3 linked regions of the Rhinolophus ferrumequinum genome follow. The protein of the gene in region 1 binds, or shares a complex with, the protein of each later gene. Links are inferred from orthologs where the notes say so. Each region holds a gene or a part of one and is shown on either strand. Other genes may lie near its edges. The genes, in order: SNRPD1, PLRG1 and SART1.

Region 1 (7,354 bases):
TTCCCTTCCTGACTCCAAACTGCAGAATGTTCTTTTCTGTACTTGCTTATCATTAGGACATCTACTTCTATTAACTAACAATGGAATAGTTGCATTGTCACACACGGTACACTCTCATTTCCTTGTTTTTCTTCCTTGTGACCAATCTAAATGCCTGTAACATATAAAACTTCTGCTAACTCCCAGAAGACAGGGTAGTCTAACTTGTAGACTGACTCTTCTGCTAGCAGCAAATAAAGGCTTTTTCTTTGTTGCTCCACTCTCGTTGACTTTATTTTAGGACTCTTGACAGTTTTATAAAATGAGACAGTAAAAATTCTAAAGACTTTTAAGGTAGAAAATAAAAACAAGGAAAAATTCAACAATTTGGTATAAATCAACTGATAATGACATTTCAATTTGCCATCCTTTGGTAAACCCACCACTAACACATACAAATAATAATGCTGTCCCCACATACTTGAGAGGGGATAAGTAAGTGTTAGCCAGATTGAAGAACTTAAAGTACAATAGTCTGGAGAGGAGAGTGAGCTTGAAGAGTTCCAGGAGCTCAAATATTCTAATACTATTGAGGAGAAAAGGGATTAAAGTAGGCAGAGCTCAAAGTAGGAAGAGACTTGAGGACACTAGGGAGGAGTACTTTGTGCTCAATACTAGGGATACTGCAGTGAACAATACACAAGGTCCCCTTCTTCACACAACATGCATTCTGATGGGGGAGACATTCACTTATTTTACAAATATTTCTTGAGGGCACATTGTGTGCAAGACACTATTCTAGATGCTGGGTATGCAGAAAGTGAACAGAACAGATGCAAATCCCTGCCTTCAGAGAGTTTCCATTCTCATGTCAGTCAATAAATAAGTAAACAAATAACAATTAAATACAAATAAGGAAATCAATGTGGTAATAAATAGAGCAGCACTGTCTAATCGAGCTTCCTTTGGTTATGGAATTGTTCTATATCTGCAGTGTCCAAAAAGGTAGCTATAGCCACATATGAGTATTGAGCACTTGAAATGTGGTTATTATCATTGAGGAAATGAATTTTTAATTTTGCTTAATTTTAATTTAAACAGCCTCACTTAATAATTGTTTTTAATCCAGGGGCTCATTAATATTATGATGAGTTTTGTTTTTTTAAAACTCTCTCTTAGAACTGCTGGTTCTTCTCTTGTTTCTAAGGAAGTTTCCAATAACTACCTCTCCATTCATGTCCAAAAGGAGCATAATACCACGAAGTCCTGATTAGATCAGCTTACATCCCAAGTCCACTGTGGACAAGTAATGGAATGTGATTATTGATCTAAAGGTAGAGTCAGCTTCCTTAGGAACATACAAATCACCAGATTACTAGAAACTGTTGGAAAAAGAAGGGGATAGATGTTGAAAAGGCAGCACATATTCATTACAGTCTTGCTACTCAAATTGTGGTTCATGGACTCAGGGCATCTTCACCAACTGAAGGCTTGTTAGTGTTAACAAAATTCGACAGAGTAAATCTGAAGATTTAATTGGCTTTATTAAGTGATTTATGAATTGAGCAGCATACCATCTAGCAACTAGAAGGGTATTCTGAGGGGTTGTACAAATTGGAAGCTTTTAGTAGGAAGCAGAAAAGGGCAAGAGGGCTATTACTGAAAGGAAAGAAGCCAGGACATCTTTTCAAGAAAGAGAAGGGGAAGGGTTTCCATCATGTAGATCTCCTCTTCTTTCCAACTGGTGCATAGAGAGGGCCTAGGTGTCAGATGCCCTTCCTGGTGCTTGATCAGAAAATTCCAAACTGGTTAATTAAGATTTTGGTTCTGGGAGAGATGGAAACTGCAATTTCAGGTACGAAATCTAGGTTTGGTATCAGAGGCTATTAGCACGAGTGACGCCTTTTTGGGCGTGTGGCTTTTTTTTCTTTAACATTAGAAATGCAGGAGTTCAGAGCCCACACCAACTAAATCAGAATTTTCATTCTGAAGTTTGCTCCAGGTGAGTCCTATGCACATTAAAGTTTGATGAGCATTGCCTTAATGAAGTCCAAGATTTCCGATGATCAGGGATGAAGTCCAGACTGATGATACAAATTAAAGCCATGGTTTTGGAGATCATCTAAGCTAAAGAAGAAAGTATCCAAAAGGAGAAAGCCCCTGAGTACCATAGTATGTAATGGCTCAGTAGAGGATGAGACAGCTAGAAAGAGGAGTAGCTAGTAGGATAGGAATAAAACCAGATGTATTTGCCATCCTGGAAGCAAGAGAGGAAAGAGAGTGTTTCAAAAGGGGAATGTTTGCGTTGAGTGCTGCTGAGATGTTTAAGATGAGGATAGAAGTTTATCTTGGAGGTTTCTGATGACTGTTAGAATAGCAATTTCAGTGTAGTTTGAAGAGTGAATTGGAGGTCATAAAAACAAGCATAGACAGCTCATTCAAGTTTTTCTGTAAAAGAAATCTGGCAGTAGCTGGAGCTGCATCAGAGGTGACCTTTTGCTTTGTTTTGTTTTTCAAATTTTTTTGTGGTGGGGAATATTGGGGAACAGTGTGTTTTTCCAGGACCCATTAGCTCCATGTCAAGTCGTTTTCGATCTAGTTGTGGGGGGCGCAGCTCAGCTCCAAGTCAAATCATTGTTTTCAATCTAGTTGTGGAGGGCACAGCTCACTGGCTCATGAGGGAACTGAATGGGCGACCTTGGTGTTATGAGCACTGCACTCTAACCATTGGGAAAAACGGCCGCCCCAGAGAGTTTTGTTTTTAAAGTAAATTTGTATGCTGATGAAAAAAAAAGTCCAGTAGAGACGGAGAAACTGATGATTCAAGTTAGAAGGGAATAACTGAAGGTATGAAATTTTTAAAAAAATGAGCGAGGGGATCCATACTACAGTGAAAAGGAATTTGCCTTTGAAAGAAGCAATACTTCTACTTTTGCGACAGGAATAAAGCAGAAGAATGGCTTCTGTTTCTCCAAGAAGTAGGAAACATTAGCAGAGAGTGATTTGGCAGAGGGACTATAAAAGTTTTGAGAGGAATAAAGAAAGTATGAAATAATTTGTGAGCTTATGAGAAGCAGAACACTATCTCTGGGCAATATAGGGTACCCTTTTGAGGTTTGCTACCAGAATTTAAAGTGAAAATAATTAGCTAAATTGTGTGATTTTCTCCATGTACATTAAGTAGTGCTGAGGTTCTTGGTTTTGGAGCAGAATTAGCATAATCTTTTGGGCTTCTCTCAGACCTTTCCTTCGCACACGGGTATATTTGGTGCTGCATAACACTAGATGCCGTGCCAAAGTGTCCACTAATTGAATTTAATATCCTCAAATCTCCCTCTAATAGGAAATTTCCTCCTAAACCAGACCTAAACGCCCTCAGCAGTCGCAAGGCACACCTCCAGCCGCTAGGGGCCGCAATGGCGCTCCTCGCGGGCGGAAGGGAGTGCGACCCTGCGCGGCCTCAGCGTTTCCGCCGCGCGTTCGCAGAGCTCTGCGCGCCCTTTACGTCGGAGATCCAGGAGTAGGCGTTTCCGGCCATTCATACTCCAGTCCGTGGGGCCTTGGTTGTTGGGGTTTGTGCACTCTTCGGACCGAGAGCGTGACGGCGCCGCTAGGATGAAGCTCGTGAGGTGAGGCGGTGACCAAGTGGAATGAGGGCTCTGACGGGACGGTTTGGGCCGGGAGCAGGAGACGGCTGCCCCAGTTGCAGGAAGCGCGAAAGCCACGTGCGCGCGCGGCCTGCTAACGGCCTCCGGCGCTCGCCGCTCCCGCCCTAGGTTGGCGGCGCCGGCGCGCGGGCCTGCTCTTCAGAAAGGGTCGTTCCGGGAACCTGTGTGTCTTCCAAGAGGTGGATGTAAAGGCCGAGCCGTTTCTTCCCATCCAATGTCTCAAGTGCCTTAAAGATGCAGGGGCAGGCGTACAAGGTCTTGCTTTCGGTTACCAACCGATTTTCATTTCCAGTAGAACTCGTGCTCTAGTTTAGGTTACTTTTCGGTCCCATCTTCAGTTCTCAGGAACCGGCAAATGTAACTAGGTCCACGGTCCCTGAGAACGTGGGAGACATAAAGAAAATTTATTTCCCTGTGTAAGTAGTTTAATGCGCTTTTAAAAAGAGTACTTAGAAGCTGCAAAGGTTTATCTGGAAAATAAACCCATTTCCGAAGTGTTTTAAATCAGGGATGGACTTCTGACTTAATGTTACTTTTTTAGAGTATTTTTGGATGTTCTCTAAATTTAGGATTATTCGACCTACATTTCCCTTTAAAGTAGGCCTTGCATTTGGGGGGGGGGGGAAATCTCCCAACTTGGGGCAGAATCACTTTCTGTATTTGTAGCTGATTGCACGGATGATCGATATGTCTTCCGTTTTATATCTTTCTGCATTTAATTTCTAGTATGTTTGAAATAACATAAATCCTTCAGGGTGGAGTTTGTAGAGAAAGCATTTAAAGTGAACTTTTTGTTCGTTTTAATTTGAACTGTAACTGGATAATAACGTCTCAAAATTTAAAGTATATTTTCACAATTTCTCAATATCTGGCAGTCTGAATTTAGTTAGTGTGCTACTCTTTGGGATCAGTTTCTCTCATTTAAAGATATTCTGTGCTGTGACAATTTTCCTGTTAATTTCAATGGCTGTATTGAATCCTTTTCTGTGTCTTAGAATAAACAAAATTTCTTCTTACTGGAGAAGGCATTTTGAACCAAGAAAATGGCTGTTTGTCTAACCGGATGGCATTTTCAGTTGACTTTTTTATTTCTGTACCTAAGTTGGTGGAACTGTCATCCTAATCAAAAACCTGGGAGTTGTCTTGACTTCTTCCTCTCTTGATAATCCTGATGTCTGATAAATTGCCAGGTTTGAACATTTTTATCTACTTAATGGAAGTATCTCTCACTATCCAATTCTCTTTGATTTTTAAATTTAAATAGTGTGAATTTGGATGCTGAATGATACCATGTTTGAATATTTGAATAATATCTGAATATCTAAGTTTCAGTAAGTAAAAAGAATTCAGATAGTGCAGGATTCATCAGAAAATGATTCCAATCTACTTGGTTTCTAGGCTCACATTATTGTGTCTGTTTCTCCTGCTCATGATACCCTCCCTGCCATTCCAGTTGCCACCACTGAGCTGTTTAAGCTCCCTTTTTTCACCCATGTTTTTTATTAACCTCTTGAGTTAAATATCTCTTACAATGATATTTAGTGTACAGTTCCCAATTTTGAAAAATTTATATACCTGTGTGATCCAAACCCTATCAAGATATGGAACATTACCTTCCCCCACCCCCCCCCCCCATTTTCTTTTGGGTAATTATTTAGGAGTGGAGTTGCTGGATCATAGCACAGGTATACATTTAGTTTCATAAGAAACTGCCAAATCATTTTCCAAAGTGGTTGTAGCATTTTACACTCCCTCAAATGAATGGTATATTAGATATATTAGAGTTACACTTGCTCCACACCCTCATCAGCATTTGTTGTCAGTTTAAGTTTAGCCATTGCAGTGCTTGTATAGTAGTCTTCTTTTGACTTTAATTTGCATTCTCCTAATGACTAGTGATGTTGAATACCTTTTCACCTGCTTATTGGCCATTTGTATATCTTTGTGAAGAGTTTAATTATGGTTGTATTTTTCTTTTTATTTTAGTTGTAGGAATTCTTTATGTATTATGCATACTAGTCTTTTGTCAGATAGAATTTCTCCTCGTTTGTGGTGTGCTTTTTCATTTCCTTAATGTCTTTGGTGAGCATACGTTTATTTTGAAGAAGTCTTAATTTACCAGCTTTTTCTTTTATAGTTATTGCTCTCTGTGCACTGTCAAAGAAACTTGTGCCTACCCTCAAACGATGAAGTTATTCTCCAATGTTTTCCTCTAAAAGCTTTATAATTTTACTTTGATTTTTAGATTTATGATCTGTCTTCAATTAATTTTGGTAAGTGGTGTGAGTTAGGGGGTCCAGGTTCATTTTTTTCTAGATGGATTTCCAGTCATTCCGTATTATCGTGGAACATAAATCCCTATTATGGATTTCATTTGTTGGAAAGGCTTTCCTTTGCCCCATCAGACTGCTTTGGCAGTCCCATGAGCACCTTTGTAGAAAATTGACTGTATAAATGTGAGTCTATTTCTATTTCTAGGTTCTATTCGGTTTCATTGATCCGTTTGTTGTTCCTATGTCTTGATTACTGTAACTTTAACCTCTATAGTGCTGTAGCCATCTGATTTGTCTTCCAATGTAAATGTGATCCTGGCAATCTTTATTGCTGAAAACCCTTCAGTAACTCTCCTAGAGGAAATTTTTAACAGAGCTTAGGCTTTCCATGAAAGGAATCTGCCTAACTCTTCATTTTCTTAGACTTAATATTCCATCGGTTGTACCTATAATTTTTCTGTACATTGTGCTGTTTCTTAACTACCGTATCTTTGCTCTTCACTCTTTGCTGCATATTTCCAACTTTTCAGGCTTCCTACTAGAAATCCACTGAAACTTGATTCCTCATGCTACCTCATGGACCTGGTAAAAACCTGTGCGCATCTCTATTGGGCTTTACAATTTAGTTTAAAAATATCTTTTATGTGTCCTTTCTACTAGTGAGTTTGAGTTCCTTGAGGCATGGTCTTACTAATTTTTAATTCTCATTATCCAGCATTATGGGACTACTACGTAATGATAAATATTATTTATCAAAGAAATATTTTTGGGCTTTCTGAAATGTGTTTTGAAGTTTCAGATGTCTTTTTTTGCTTTCTGGTTTTCTTTTTATTTCCATATGGTAGATTGCTTGATTTAGAAGGTATTTTGTGTTTACTTTAATTCTGCCTGCTTCCAAAAATTATTTGAAAGAACTTTTATAAAAGGAAAAGATATTAATGAGTGGGTCAATTAAAGTAAAAGATTTTTGTAAACCCAAGTGCAGGAGAACAATCTAGGTTAATGTAGTTAAAAGTGATTAATAAATTTTGAGCTAAGTTAAAGAACTTTTGTCTGGTGAAATAAAGCAATTCATTGAGAGAGACTTATCTTGACAGCAAATAGAAAAAGATTCAACCCATTAGTCTTTATGAGGACAGATGAGCTGTTTGAAGTTTGGGACTTGTTTTATCCTAGATCAAGTAATTTCCCCTTTTTTGATGGCTGCCTATACCACGAAAAATGTAGTGTTTTATAGCTGGATTCCCTTTAATTATTGAAACATTTCAGCCAACTATTACTCAGTGCCTGTTATAATTCATGATTAAAGGTCATAAACCTTACCCTCAACAACAGTGTAGTAGGGAGGGAAATAGATAATCCAGCATGTACCATTTAGTGTGATAGATGCTATGATGGGCTGTACAAAGTACCTATTACAGACTAGAAATTGTG
Region 2 (7,354 bases), on another chromosome or scaffold:
GACATAAGCAGAGAATCAGGTCAATTAGCCCGGTAGATGGGTCATACCAGCATTCTACAGGGAAAGGCTCCAAACTCCAGCAGCAGAAATAATCAAAACTTCTAAACTTGTTCATTTGATTCCTCTGTCAAGTCTCTGAGACACCTGATGTCCTTAATAGTATCCACCCCCTCCCTATTATCTTTCGGTAAATTAGGCTGAGATGGCCTCTCAGATTTGCTAAACTAATCCAAAGAGAAAATTAAGATCAATAGAAATCAGACTATTTTTTTAAAGCATAAATTGCATCTTCAAAAGAGAAGCTATATTACAATAAATGATGAAAAGTTTGTGTACTGAAGTATATAGTACCAGCAGTAAAACTCTGTAAAATATTACAACTTTTATTTTATTTTGGAGAGTTTTAGTAACATTCATTTAAAAAAATTCACTATTTAGTAACTATTTCTTGAATTAAATTAACAATATTTTCTGTAAAATGTGCCCAGAATTAGATTAATGGGGCATTAGATATATTTATAGTTTTGAGTCTTCCTATCCAAGAATAAGGTATGCATTTTCATTAGTTCAAATCTTTTTTATGTCCTCTAAATTTTTTTTATTTAAGTCTTGCGCTTTTATCATTTATAAGTTACAAATAAAATCATTTTTTCATTATATTTTTAACTGCATATATGAAAGCTATTGATTTTTTAATACTATTTTTGTACTCAGATATTATATTTTAGTGAATTCTCTTATTGTTTCCAATAGTTTCTCCAGTTGATTTCTTTTTTTTTTTCTTTTTGGCATAAAATCATACCATACACAAATAAAGATAGCTTTGTTTCATTATTTCTTATTTCACACCACTTATTTTTTTTCTCTCATCCAATTGCATGACTACTACTTTCAGGACAAAAATGTGTGCATACTAATGGTGATAATAGGAATTCTAGTTTTGTGGCTGGCTAATTAGAATGTTTTTAATGTTAACCTATAAACATGACGCTGACTTTTGGTAGTATTTTAAAAGAAAGCCTAAAAATGTCTAAATTATAATAGTAAAATATTCATACAATCAGTATGCTTTAATCCTCTTAATTATTGATGTCAGGAAGTTTTTCTGCCAAATAAATCCATTTTTGCAAATCATATGTTTTTACAAATAAATTAGTATCATTTAAGTTAGTATCAGAATTAAATTTGAAATACACGAAACAAAATTTGGCACTAACTTACCTAAATATAGTGAAAAATAATTCCTTTTCTTAAAATTTACTATGATTAGAAAGACAGACTGTCCTCCTCATACAAGCAATTCTCTGCCTTACACATAGAAAAGAGTTAAGATTAAATTAATGGTTGTTGAAATAGTAGCATCTTTTCAAGGGTGAGCACATTACACACACACACACACACACACACACACACACACACACACAATATCCTTCCTATAGATTTACTATCTGCAACCCCACATCAAAATTTATGTCTCATTGCCTTCCAACCCCATATCTAAGTGTCTAAAACTTAACATCTTCCTTACTCAATCGTTCAACAAATTTTGAAAGCATATAAGTTGCAAGTCAACTAGACACTGGGTGTGTAATAGTGAATATCACAGCATACTCACTCCATATGTCTGTTGGGAAATACAGATAAACAAATATTACCATCGAACACGGTGGTATATGGACTCAGCTAAGAAAACTGGAAATGTCACATTGCAATTTTTACTTTGTCAGCATAAACACTGACATATTTTTGCAAAAATGGAAACACAAATAAAGATAAATTATGAGTCATGATCATGTTCACTTTTGACTCTTGTTTTTGTGATATGGGATGTGACTTCATAGAGGAAAGTGAAACTGTGACAAAAAACACATTCTTCCCGTCACACACACACACACACACACACACACACACACAGCTTACTAAGATGTATATAATTGACAGTGTAGCTTAATTATGTACCAGGCCTTCCCAGGCATTAAGTGGAAGAATAGCTCCCTCATTGTCTCCTGTAGTCCCAAAAGCTTTCCTCTCAACTGTGTTATCAGAAAGCACCTGAAAACACTACCTCAGCAGTTGGGTCCATTCTTATCATTGTAATAAACAACTAAAGACCAAACTCCTGATAGAAATGTCCAAGTATTCTTTTTCTGTTTCTGATCTCAGGAATTCCAAAAGACATGATAACTTGTATTATCTCCCGTGTCTTAGTGTAACGAAAATCCTCTTATCCTTATGAAGAGCAACAGTGACCCCTACTGCTCAAATAAGGCAGCTCCGGGTGTCAACCGGGACAGGGATTCTTAACCTTTTCTGGGTCGTGGATCATTTTGTGAATCCGAAGAAACCTATAGATCCCTTCACCAGAACAAAATTCAGGTTCTTACATAAATACAAAATTTACATACTATATATAGGTAATTCTTGGATCCCTGAGCTAGTAATACGGTCACGGAGCTCTCTAAAAGTTTCAAGTGGATAATATAATTCTGTAAATTTAAGAGAGCTTTTCAAAAGGAGCATAATCTCGTCCAATCTACCTCAGTCATTACAATGTTTTTATGAGTCTGGGCTTACATTTTTTTTCAGGAATAGTAACTAACAAGCTAATAGACCCAAATAGACAGTTACTATATTGCTATAGACATATTAGAATCTTGCTTACATTTCTATAACTTTATTGCCATTTAAAATCATGTTCTTTTGTATAGTTATTACCGTCTTTATAGTTACAAGATTTAGTGTCACTAGTACAGTATGTATTTTGTAATTATGATATTTCCTTGCAAGCCCTAACATCAGTGACCACTGTTAGAGAAAATCAGTTCTTAGGCAAAACTTACACTCAAATTCGGGGATGACTGCCTTTTCAAGTATGACTTTAATGTGTTTAACTAATTTAAATCAATACATTTCTAAATGGGAAGATCAATCCACATTGCTATACTTTTGATAGATTGCACACCCCCTCCTCCAAGTACATGCAGTATGCTCCGGGGACAAGATCAGTGGAACTGATTATGGTTAAGGAATAAGCAGAGCCAGGGAAATGTTTGTTTATTCAAGTTTGAAAATGTCCAATTCCATCAATTTTTCTTTACACCTAGCAAAACACGTGTTCCCGGAGCGTCCGCTCCGCAGCCCCGAGACTCTGCCCCAGCGGCGGCCCGGAGGGTAAAAAGGGCGGCGCCTCAACCCCGGGAAGCCTGCGGGAGACCAGCGCGCAACGTGCGGGGCTGCGTCACATCCGGCGTCAGGGCGCCAGATTCCGGAAGAGGCTGCAGTTGTGGCGGCGGTTTCTCTGTTGGTGATTAGTATCTTTCCTGCCAGAGCGGGGAAATACACGGCAGCATCATGGTTGAGGTAAAGTGACATTTGGTACTGAGGGGTAGTTTGCTACTGGACTGTTTTCCTTTGGCGACAGGCACGGGGGATCGAGGGGATCCAGGGAGAGTAGAAGCTGCTCAGGGAGGCTGTTTGGCCGAGGCCAGGTTGTCTCTAGGTTTTCAGGGAGAGAGGGAGGCTTTTCAGGGGATGAGAGCACGAATTGGAGGTTCCCTCCGGGCGGGAAGCCTAAGCTAACGCCTCCCCTCCTTATTTAACCCTTGGGCACTGGAGCGGGGCGCTGCCCTCGGAGGTGCGGCTTCTGTCGATGTTCGACCGCCGTGTTCGCCGCCTGCGGGGTGGTGTCAGTGCATCTGTGTTCTAGGCGACTGGCGGTTTGCTCCCGTGGTGACTCTGTCTCTTCTTTTAGCTCTTCCCCAGGAAAATCTGCCGTTCTTGAATTTTTGCATCTTTCCCTAGCTTGAACAACCATTCTATTAGCAAGCCTTGTCTGTCTTTTCTCAGAACTGTTTCTTGACTTTTGTCCATTCCCATTGCCATCACCGTAATTCAGACCAACCTCACCTTTCATCTCGACAGTTGCGTTGGTTCCAAACTGGTCTCCTTCCTTCCATCTCTCTCTCTCTCTCGCTCTCGCTCTCTCGCTCTCTCTCTCTCTCTCACACACACACACACACAAGTTAATCTATTTAAAAATGTAAGTTGGTCCTGCTTTTCTTACTTAAAACCCTTTACTGGCCCTATGCTGCTAGAACAAAAATACAGACTGCTATAATGGTCTAAAAAAAAAAAAAACACAAAAAACCCTAACTAGATCTGGACCATGTCTACCCTCGCAACCTCATCTTGCATCATAACTCACCCTCTCACCAAACACATACAATTGTTCTGCCCCTCCTGGCATTTTTTCTGTTACTGAATTCCTTTGCGCATGGTGTTTTCCTTCTGCCTGGATTGTTCTTAACCTCTTTTCTGTGCAAGGCTAACACCCTTTCTGCTTAAATAGCACCTCAGAGAGATCTTTCATAACTATCCTAAGTTTTTGCTCCACTCTCTCAGTCCCTTGCTTCTTTTCTTCACAGTACTTATCAAAATGTGGAGTTATTTTTGCTTATTTTTATTTAAATGTGTCTTGTTTCATCTTGAGCACAGCGACCATGACCATCTTTTTGTCGTTCTGTTGTTAGCTTTCAGCCCAATACCTACCAGACACAGTACCTACCAGACAAATAGTAGCTCAGTAAACTTTTATTGAATAAATGACTAATCTCAGGCATAATTCAGTTGTTATACTTGGGGTTCTAGCAAAAAAGGGGAGCTTCGTCCTTTGAACTTGACTGCTGTAGCTTGCTACAAGTAGCTCTGGTGAGCGGTGCAAAGTTTTTGACATATTTAAACATGCAACGGAATGACAATTTGACTTTAATTTAGGTTTGATATGTGTAGTCTGTGGCTAGATATGTAATTATACTCTTTCTTTCTAGGAAGTACAGAAACATTCTGTGCATACACTTGTGTTCCGGTCGTTGAAGAGGACCCATGACATGTTTGTAGCTGATAATGGAAAACCTGTGCCTTTGGATGAAGAGAGGTAGGTATAGTTCCTTTTCAATTGCTAGAATATTTAAACTCCTAAAATTGGGGGAAGAGAGCAGGGAGAGGGGTACCTTTAGAGTTTAGTGAATAACACTAACACTCACAGAATATCTATTCAGTAATGAGTGGAGTAACTTAAGCTGATTTAACTTTTTTTTGGCCTTTTACATTAATTAGTTAATTACTTAATTAATTAATTGCATTTTACAAATACCCAGTAATTAGGAGAGTCCCATTTAGGTATTTTATTTTATAATCAATCACTTTGTATGTGCTTTCAGCTTCCCTCCCGCTGCTCTCAGAGCCTTGCTGAGCTGAAATTGTACCTGGCCAGTACTTCTACTCCCATCTTTTCTCGTTAGTATGATGAAGATTTTTGAGTGGTGGCATATTTTTGGTTCTACATCTCCAGCTCCAGTCTAGGATTGCATTATGTGCAGTGTTCCTTCTTTGTTCTTCACCCTTCTTTTAAAGTCTACTTAATTCCTCAAACAAGCATTTATATTTAATTTGTAAAGTAGGCTATTCTTGAAAGCAATATAATAAGTGCATTTCTTTATAAAATATTGAGCTAATTAAGTACTTCGATCATTTCTAACCTTCAAAATATCTAGTAAACGTTATTGTAGAAGCTTTTACTATATTTTTGTATTTAGACATTTGAAGGAGAGTATTGATTCTGAGGTTTTTTAAAAAAAAGATATATTTGTTTCTATATATTTTAAAATCAGTTAGACCCTTGATAACTCATCATGAAAGGTTTTATATTTATCGGTTAACAAGCTAAAATATTTCTTAGACTTAATGGATGCTGTGTGGTGGGTTGTGAATAAAAGTGTGGAAATGTACTTGGAAATTTTGAGCTTTTTAAAATGTTTAAAATCTTCATAGAAACTTTTTCTACATAATTAGGCAAACTTAAGCTATTTAAGTACTTGTTTCCTGTCTATCTGTGACTATATTTATTTTGGTGACTATATTTGAAGTACTTAAAAATACATTCCTTTGTTTATAACTTTTTAAAATAGTCACAAACGAAAAATGGCAATCAAGCTGAGGAATGAGTATGGTCCTGTGTTGCATATGCCTACTTCGAAAGAAAATTTTAAAGAGAAGGGCCCTCAGAATGCATCAGATTCATATGGTCATAAACAGTATCCTGCCAACCAAGGTGAGTGTGGCATTGTCAGAAATGCCAGGACTTACGTGTGAATTTTTAAAAATAAATGAAATATTTTATTAGTGCCCCTCTTGGTGGAAGACTAATTAGAGCCATACCGTATTTTAACACCACTAGTATTATGATGGAAGTCTAGATTTCCTCATTGGAATAGTGAGTGAGATATGTATTGGTTGGTGGGTTTTAGTTCTACAGGAAATAAAAATAAAAGTGGTAGTATAATGGTGGCAGAAACCATTAGGATATGGAGTTGGTTATAGTGGAAAAATTCCTAATTTGTGGGGAGACCATCTATCTCTTTAGGCTATAATTCAGAAAGATGATATTAAATACTGAAATTGTAGTGAATAAAGATAATTCAATATTCCACAGGGAAACCATTTGCTTAAAAGAAAAATCAGAGTGGATTATTACTTTATAGGGTGACCTCTACACACGATTGTTATATAGCAAATGCACAAGTTCTTGACATCATGTCAGCAAATGGTCAAGGAAATCACTATGTACATGGTCTTCAGAAGTCAAAACAAAAATGATCAGCTTTATTTTTGAAGCTTGGGTTTAGTTATGAAAATTTTAGAAATCCAGTTGATAATTTAAAATTACTTAGTTCATTAAAAGAAATGATACTAGTATGGTACATAAGATAAATTTTGTCATTGATGAATTTCTCTTGTATTTTTTTAAGGACAAGATGTTGAATATTTGGTGACGGGTACACATCCCTATCCACCTGGACCTGGTAAGTGAGCTGTTACACATTGAAAATGTCTTATTGTCACATATATTTCCATGAATAAACTAATAATATGATTCCCATTGCCTGTAAAATACAAGATAAGCTTAATAGCCCGGCATCCAGCTTTTTAGATGATAATTAGCGAATACTTAGTGTCACATGCATTCATTGGGCAAACATTCATGAGCACCTGTATTTTTTCAGGCACCGTGCTAGGAATTTATAGTCAATAAGACTGCCCCAAGGTAAGACAAGCTTATTATTTGGAGGTTTAGACAGACATGTAAATGTCACTAAGCTTATAAAAGTGATGCTAGAAGTGTTAGTATAGAAGCAGGGGTGATAGAAATGTTACCTGGGTGTGTGTAGAGGAATCGGCACACAGGTGGAGTGGTCAGTATAGCAAGAGTAGAGGATAAAAAGCTTAGTACAGCTATTTTAGAGGACAGAATTCAGCATATTGAAAGTGTAGGCGAATCAGTGCTTCTCGTAGTAAT
Region 3 (7,354 bases), on another chromosome or scaffold:
TCGGGCTCCTGCCCGCAACCCTCGTAGGAGAGCATCTTGGTATCGGCGGATTGCGCCTCTCCCTGCTTCAGTGTTAAAGTCCCAATTAGGCCGTGCGTCTGGAGCAGCCTCGGTCACCCAGGTGGCAGCATCCAGGACTCCTCCAGAGGCCACTTCTTCTAGCCACTGCGTTGCTCCCTATATGATCCGCTGGCGTTCTTCGGTGTTGAAGAGTGTTCAGAGGAGCTGTTGACAGAACTCCCAGGTGGGGCGATGAGTGTGGAAGATAGATTCCATAAGATCTATCATGGCTTGCGATTTCTCCGAGTAAGCTGGGGTATGATGTTTCCAATTCAACAGGTCAGTGGTGGAGAAAGGCTGGTAGTAGATGACGGGGTGTCCTCGCTGGAGGGTCCCGTCATCTCCAACTTGGTCTGGGCTTCTGGTCTCCTGGAGGGTCAGCTGAAGCAGAGGCGGGTCTTTGGACCGAAGTCAACTAGCAGGCCCCAGTGAGGGTTGGTGTGTAGGATCAGGGGCTCCCTGGGGAGGGCTTGGGAAGTTGGGTGTCGGCCTGGGGGGCTCAGATGGAGGCGGAGTGTCTGGAAGTGGTGGGGCCGCACCAGCCGTTGGCCGTGATGCGTAGGGAGGTGGTGGTGGCTCTTCGTGGGGGTCTCCCTGGTAAATGGTCTTAGTCATGTCTTTCTGGGCACGGCCTTGTGGGTTCCGTGCAATGAGGATCCTGGACTGTCCCTTACTATTGGAGTAGAACCGTACCTAAGGAGGAAGGGTTCGGCCTATTTCCAACCACGAGTCAATGTAAGGGAACTGGTATGGATATCCTGGGGTCCCGGTGACAACTATGTAGACCCGGCAAATCGTGGGGAGGTCAAGAGTGCCTTCTGGGGGCCATTCCACGTCAAAACTTGGCCACTCCAGTTCATATAAAGTGCGGAGATGTCCTGGGGTCATTTTGACCCCCTAGTCGCCTCTGAAACCTTTTCTGAAATTCTTTAACATGCAGTCTAGAACCCTGGGCTTCCCGTGACTCCCTCCCAGGATGTTCGGTGTAGTGTAGACAAGGGAATGGTCTCAATCAGGCGCCCGCCTGGCCGTGTTCCTCGCGGGAACTTTGGGTACGTCTTGGCTAAGGTGTGCCCGTATAAGCCCGGGGTTCGGTCGCACTCCGAGAGTGCGAATCACCATATGCCGTAGGATGCTACCATGGAACGCAGGTTGGGGCTCACCCCAGCTCCGTAGCCGACAGGCAGTGGATCCATACAGAATCCTGTTTGGGACCAAGCACACACACATTCATTCCGGGAGGAAAGACGCCCTCCCCCGGAATGGCCCTAACTAGAGTCCAAAGTGGGACTCAGCAGGAGGTGATCAGGCTCCCCTTCTGCCCTTAGGCAGGCCTAACTGGGTCCCGGGCCCCGGGTCTTACCGTGTCCGATGTCCTGGTTGATTGTCCGTCCTTTCTCTCTACTGGGGTCCAGCAGGGAGTCACGGGCCGGAGCTGGTGGGAGGTCGCTGGTCCCGGGCCGGCGGAAATGAGCAGGGCGCGCCTAGCCCTGCCCCGGCTCTCCCGCCACCCTACGGTCTGCTCTGGCCCAAACCGGTGGCTCAAGGGGCCAGCGCGGTTGGGTTTCCAGGTCAGGGAACCAAGAATGTTACGGATACCAAGACCGGAAGAACCTAAGCGGCACTCAGAGAGTTAGGAAGGTCAGCTTTATTATGCCGGCGGGCTCAGCGGGATCCTTCCCAAAGACTGAGCCCCTAGCAAGGTTTTGAGCAGGTTTTTGAGTTAGGAACTTCCTTCAGTCGGGGAAGGGGTAGGTGTGGTCCGGTGATTGGCTCCGGGTGTGGCTTGGAGGGGGTTATGAGGAAGTGGGCTGGGGCTTAGGCTGGGGACGTCTCTCTCCGCTCCGGCCACCATTTTAGCTCACTTTCCCCATCACTGGGACGCCGCCTTCCCCATGCACAATCGGACCACCACCCTGCCCGAGGTGGCCGAGCTTGTGCACGCGGACGTCGACCCCAGCCTTCCCATAAGCCTTTGGGGGCCGGCTCTGAAGCGAAGGACGGAAGCAGCCGCTCTTGGTTTCCGGCTACACGACAGCGGGCGACCCGGAAGTGTTCCCATTTTGCGCAGTCTGGGCTCGGCGGCGGCCGGGCACGGGGCGGCCGGACCACTATGGGATCGTCAAAGAAGCACCGCGGGGAGAAGGAGGCAGCCACGACGGCGGCGGCGGCCGGCACCGGGGGCGCCACCGAGCAACCGCCGCGGCACCGGGAACACAAAAAACATAAGCATCGGAGCGGCGGCGGCGGCGGCAGCGGCGGCGAACGACGGAAGCGGAGCCGGGAGCGGGCAACCGAGCGCGGGGGCGGGCGGCGCGGGGCTGAGGCCGAGACCCGGAGCGGCGCGCACGGGCGGGAGCGTAGCCAGACCGAGCCCTCCGAGCGGCGCGTGAAGCGGGAGAAGCGCGATGACGGCTTCGAGACCGGTGAGGGGCGAGGCGTGCGCGGGGGGATCCCGGGGCTGGCAGGCCCTGGGCGTGGAGGCAATGCCGGACGCCGGCCCTGCACTCCAGGCCGTGGCACCCGCGGGCTCTCTTAGTCAGCACTTCTTAAAGGGTCCTCTTACCATTGTTTGGGATTAATGGTGGTTTCTCTCTCCTAAGATCTGTGAGAACAGATTTTTCTGTGTTTTCTTCAACTGGCATATCACAGGTCCTCGGTAAATGGGTTGAGTGAGTGAGTAAATGAGTGAATGAATGAATGATTGAATGAAGTGGTACCAGGGTGTGCAGAGGCAAGAGAAAATCAGGTATTGGGCAAATCGTGTAGGGCTCATAGTAGAGACATGAAGCAGTAAGATCCGCAGGGGTCCAAACACGAGGTGCCCTGTTATGAAATTTGAACTTTGTCTTGAGGGTCGTAGGGAGCCGTGCAGTTGAGCTGGGGAGTGAGTTGATCCTATTTTGCACAGATCACTGACTGCATCCAAAACTAAGTCAAAGGTAGTCAAAACGAGACCAGGTGAGGACTGATGCTGGCCTGCACCAAGGCAGCAGCAGGGGGATGGAGAGATGTGGAAAGACTGAAGAAGTGTTTTGGAGGAGGAATGGGGGTGGGATGAGGGTGGGAAGGAGAAGAAGGGATTGAGGATTCAAATTTTGGTGTCAGCAATTAGGTGGGTGGTGGCGTCATCTACTGAGCTTGAGTTTGGAAGAGGCATTTAGGGGAAGAGAATGAATTCAGTTTTGCAGAGTGTTGTGTTTGATGTGCTTGGGAGAAACCTGGGAGGACCAGGTTTGGGTGGGATACAGCAATTTGGGAGTCAGGAGTAGTTAGGTGGCATGCGAAGTCTCCTGAAGAGAGTGGGGAGTGAGAAGTCAGGCTCAGGACTAGAGCCTGAGAAATGCCAGTATTTTAGTAGTAAGCGGAGCCTGATGCTACCGGAAAGGAAGTAGAATAGCCAAAAAGACAGGAAAACCATAGAATCTTCTGTCATGAGATTTGTGGAAAGAGGATTGTTAGAAGACGGGTCACACACTACAGGAGATCAAGCAAAACCAGAGCTGAAAAGAATGCATTGGTTTTAGAAATAAGGAAGCTGGTGACTTTGAAGAGTGCCTGGAAGGGTTGGGATCCAGGGTCCAGGTGGAATAAAAGGGGAGGAGTTAGGCTGGGGGCGAGTTGCAGCAAGGATGAGCTTGTGGTGGCAGCTGGTTGGGGGAGCTCCACCTGACGGTTTTTAGCTTCTGGCTGTGGTGTTCAGCAAAGGTATTTGCTGTTTGTGAGGTGGGTGGAGGAAGTTTGAAATGCTTTTTTATTGCTGTATCCCCAACATCCAGCAGGGGACAAGCACCAGTAACGTGTTTATTGACATGGTCATGCTACCAACATGGTCTCTGCCCTGTGGAGAGCCACAGACCCAGACATGACTGACCGTGCTGTGGGGTTTGGGGAGGGCAGTTCATTCTGGTCAATAATTGAAGCACTTCACGGAAGAGCTGGCGATTGATCTTGGCGTTTGGATAGGACTTGTCAGTCAGTGAGGCCAGAGAGGGCAGTGCAGGTTGAAAACACAGAATATACAACAGTGGAGAGGTGGCAAAGGGTGGGATGCAGAAAGTTGGACCTTTGGGGTGAGGAAAGGAAGGGATCTAGAAGAGGCGGGGTTCTCAGACTGGGACTCAGGGAGAAGGACTTGCTGGGGTGGGAAGAGGCTGCCGTGTTCTGGTGTCTCAGCAAGCCCCGGGTGCTGGTGAGGGGCCCTTATCGTTGGCCGTGCAGCGGAGCGAAGGCTGTGGCTTTTTGGCCCTGCGTTCGCCTCCTGAGTCGTGCTTCTTGTTCCAGCTACCGGCTCCAAAAGCAGCTCAGGAGATGCCTCGTCACTCAGCATCGAGGAGACCAAGTGAGTACTGTGTCCTGTATGTTTGCAGTCTTTTCTTCTGAGCAGTCGCTTGGGGAGGCTTCCGCACACTAAAGTGTGCTGGTTGGCATTGGAAGTGCCATATAAATCACGTCAGCCCACCGTTTGTGTTACAGAAGAGGACACTAAGGCCTTAGAGGAAGGACGGCATTCCACTGGTTAGGGCCAGCCAGGCGGAGCACTTGTGTTCCCTGATTGGGAGACCTGTGTCCTTCCCAGTGCCCTGGGCTTCCAGGGTCAGGCCCTGTGTTGGGGACCCTTAGGACCACTCTGCCCCGTCCTGTTTTCATCCCCCATCTATCCGGAAATGCATTTGGTGCCCCATCTCTTTGACAGCTCTTAACCTTTGTATCTCTTACCCTCAGTAAACTCCGGGCAAAGTTGGGGCTGAAACCCTTGGAGGTCAATGCCGTCAAGAAGGGTAAGTATGGGGCTGAGGGCATCGGAGGGGTCTTTGAAGACAGTGGGGTTGGAGCATGTGTGTGTGTGCTTGCCAGTAGGCATGGGCCTTCCTTCTTGCTGTCACATGGGGATCTGACGCTCAGCTTATTCTTGAAGTTTGCACAGTTGGCATGGCTCCTCACTCTGGCTGTGTGGTAGCGGTAGATGGGCTGAGAAATGTGCACAGTTGCTCCAAACTGATCGGGGCTGTGCAGGTGTTGGTTATCTCTTAAGCATGATTTGAGTGGCTTTGGAAGGCCTGGTAGGGGGTTCCCATCATGCTGTGTGGGGTGACATGGGAGTGTCGGAATAAAGTGGGTGTAGGGAGGTAAAGGATCCTTCCCCCCCTTTCCTGGCCCCTTCTGGTCACCTGAGCTGGAAGGGGGCAGGGTGAGTGGCTCCCTCCTCTCCCCACCAGCCATGGGCAGGCATAGCCTCACGTCTGGGCCCTCCTTCCAGAGGCGGGCACCAAGGAGGAGCCCGTGGCAGCCGATGTCATCAATCCTATGGCCTTGCGACAGCGAGAGGAGCTACGAGAGAAGCTGGCAGCTGCCAAAGAAAAGCGCCTCCTGAACCAAAAGCTAGGGTAAGGGGGTCCCAGCCAGGGAGGACAAGGGAAGGGTCTGAGGAGGCTGCCATGGAGCTCTGGAGTCGGGGTGGGGGGAGCAGGAGCGGGGCTCCCCAGAGAGTCACTTTCTTCCCACTTCAGGAAGATCAAGGCACTGGGGGAGGACGACCCCTGGCTGGATGACACTACCGCCTGGATCGAGAGGAGTCGGCAGCTGCAGAAGGAGAAGGACTTGGCGGAGAAGAGGGTGAGGGCCTAGGCAGCGGGGTTGGTTGCTCAGGGCCGCTGGTGGCTTCACAGGCTGGTGAGGCAGGAATCCCACCCCTGGGGCGTGAGGCCGGGCTCAGAGAGGTAGGAGGTCCATGGAGTGGCGTCCGCTTTGGGTTCTCAGCGGCTTGCCTGCAAGGCCTGCCATTTGTGTGCTCCCACTTGACAAGGCCATGCGTGTCTTCTGGTCCTGAATGGCCTGAGCTCCTGGGTCACTCCCCCTCCTGTCCCATAGGCCAAGCTGCTGGAGGAGATGGACCAAGAGTTTGGTGTCAGCACTCTGGTGGAGGAGGAGTTCGGCCAGAGGCGGCAGGTGAGGCTGCTGTGGCAGCCGTGGGGAGTTGTAGGGTGGTGGTGGGAGGCACTGCTGTCCATGGTGCTGGGATCCCAGGGCTGGGGGGTTTGGGCGCCTGACTCGGCGGGACCTCCCCCCTCCCTTCTAGGACCTGTACAGTGCCCGGGACCTGCAGGGCCTCACCGTGGAGCACGCCATTGAGTCCTTCCAAGAAGGGGAAACTGTGGTCCTCACCCTCAAGGACAAGGGTAGGTTGGGGGGCTGGGGTCATCCGGTTGGGGGCAAGGTGCTACTGAGTCGAGGGCGTGTGTGAATGGCCTCTGCCCTGCCCCCAGGCGTGCTGCAGGAGGAGGAGGACGTGCTGGTGAATGTGAACCTCGTGGATAAGGAGCGGGCTGAGAAGAACGTGGAGCTGCGGAAGAAGAAGCCCGACTACCTGCCCTATGCAGAGGACGAGAGCGTGGACGACTTGGCCCAGGCAGGCGGGCGGCGTAGGGGCCGGGAGGAGTGGGTGGCTCTGTGGCTTCTGGGGAGCCAGGCTGGGTCCCAACCTGTACCTCTTGCCTTTGCAGCAGAAACCCCGCTCTATCCTGTCCAAGTACGATGAGGAGCTCGAGGGCGAGCGCCTGCACTCCTTCCGCTTAGACCAGGGCGGCATGGCCGATGGCATTCGGGAGCGCGAGCTGGAAGAGGTCCGGGCCAAGCTGCGGCTGCAGGCTCAGTCCCTGAGCACGGTGGGGCCCCGGCTCGCTTCCGAGTACCTCACACCCGAGGAGATGGTGAGCTCTGCGGCCGCTGCTCACACCGCGAGGGAGGCAGTGGTGCCTCCTTCCGCTCGGGGCTAAGGAGGGAGACCCAGTGTTCATTTGGTCCTGGGTCCTTGGTCCTTGTTGGGGAGCCGAGATTGGCAGCCCCGGGGCGGTGCTGCCGGGAGGCAGTGGGTGTAGACAGAGCAGCGACTGAGCCAGGTGAGCCTGAGATGCCCCATCTGAGATGGGGATGGTGGGAGCTAGCTACCTCTTGGGGGGCCATTGCGAGGATGAGTGACAGTTTGGGAAGTGGTAATTTGATAGCTGTGTGTGGGTTTTGTATTGGGGGTGACTGAATGAACACAGACAGCTGGCTAAGTGGTTAAGAGCGGGATTCGGGGGCCACATTTCCAAGAGTCACAATCCTGGTATCCCCCTTGTGAGCTGGGTGACCTCTCTGTGCCTCAGTTTTCCTCATCACACTGGTGGGAGGACAACTGCACGCACCTCCAGTCTTGTTTATGTATGTGACGTTCTTGGGACAGTGGCTGGCAGTCACGCTAAAGAAGTGTTCATTCTCGGGGGCTGTGGCTGCTGCCTTCCCCCTCCCCCCT

Evidence for each region.
Region 2: SNRPD1 (region 1) and PLRG1 share a complex: the UniProt entries of both Homo sapiens proteins name them as parts of the minor spliceosome. The link is inferred for Rhinolophus ferrumequinum from reciprocal best matches to the Homo sapiens genes SNRPD1 and PLRG1.
Region 3: SNRPD1 (region 1) and SART1 share a complex: the UniProt entries of both Homo sapiens proteins name them as parts of the U4/U6-U5 tri-snRNP complex. The link is inferred for Rhinolophus ferrumequinum from reciprocal best matches to the Homo sapiens genes SNRPD1 and SART1.

What each region holds. Positions count from the first base shown.
Region 1 is NC_046302.1:17,463,082-17,470,435, forward strand, and holds the start of SNRPD1 (small nuclear ribonucleoprotein Sm D1), read left to right. Parts: upstream 1-3,450; 5' UTR 3,451-3,594; coding exon 3,595-3,608; intron 3,609-7,354. UniProt on the Homo sapiens protein: Plays a role in pre-mRNA splicing as a core component of the spliceosomal U1, U2, U4 and U5 small nuclear ribonucleoproteins (snRNPs), the building blocks of the spliceosome.
Region 2 is NC_046301.1:25,386,167-25,393,520, reverse strand, and holds the start of PLRG1 (pleiotropic regulator 1), read left to right. Parts: upstream 1-3,230; 5' UTR 3,231-3,351; coding exon 3,352-3,360; intron 3,361-4,826; coding exon 4,827-4,933; intron 4,934-5,219; exon of another isoform or gene 5,220-5,295; intron 5,296-5,966; coding exon 5,967-6,109; intron 6,110-6,806; coding exon 6,807-6,860; intron 6,861-7,354. UniProt on the Homo sapiens protein: Involved in pre-mRNA splicing as component of the spliceosome. Component of the PRP19-CDC5L complex that forms an integral part of the spliceosome and is required for activating pre-mRNA splicing.
Region 3 is NC_046294.1:5,874,998-5,882,351, reverse strand, and holds the start of SART1 (U4/U6.U5 tri-snRNP-associated protein 1), read left to right. Parts: upstream 1-2,092; 5' UTR 2,093-2,173; coding exon 2,174-2,486; intron 2,487-4,344; coding exon 4,345-4,402; intron 4,403-4,785; coding exon 4,786-4,841; intron 4,842-5,320; coding exon 5,321-5,447; intron 5,448-5,570; coding exon 5,571-5,676; intron 5,677-5,931; coding exon 5,932-6,009; intron 6,010-6,139; coding exon 6,140-6,239; intron 6,240-6,326; coding exon 6,327-6,469; intron 6,470-6,563; coding exon 6,564-6,770; intron 6,771-7,354. UniProt on the Homo sapiens protein: Plays a role in mRNA splicing as a component of the U4/U6-U5 tri-snRNP, one of the building blocks of the spliceosome. May also bind to DNA.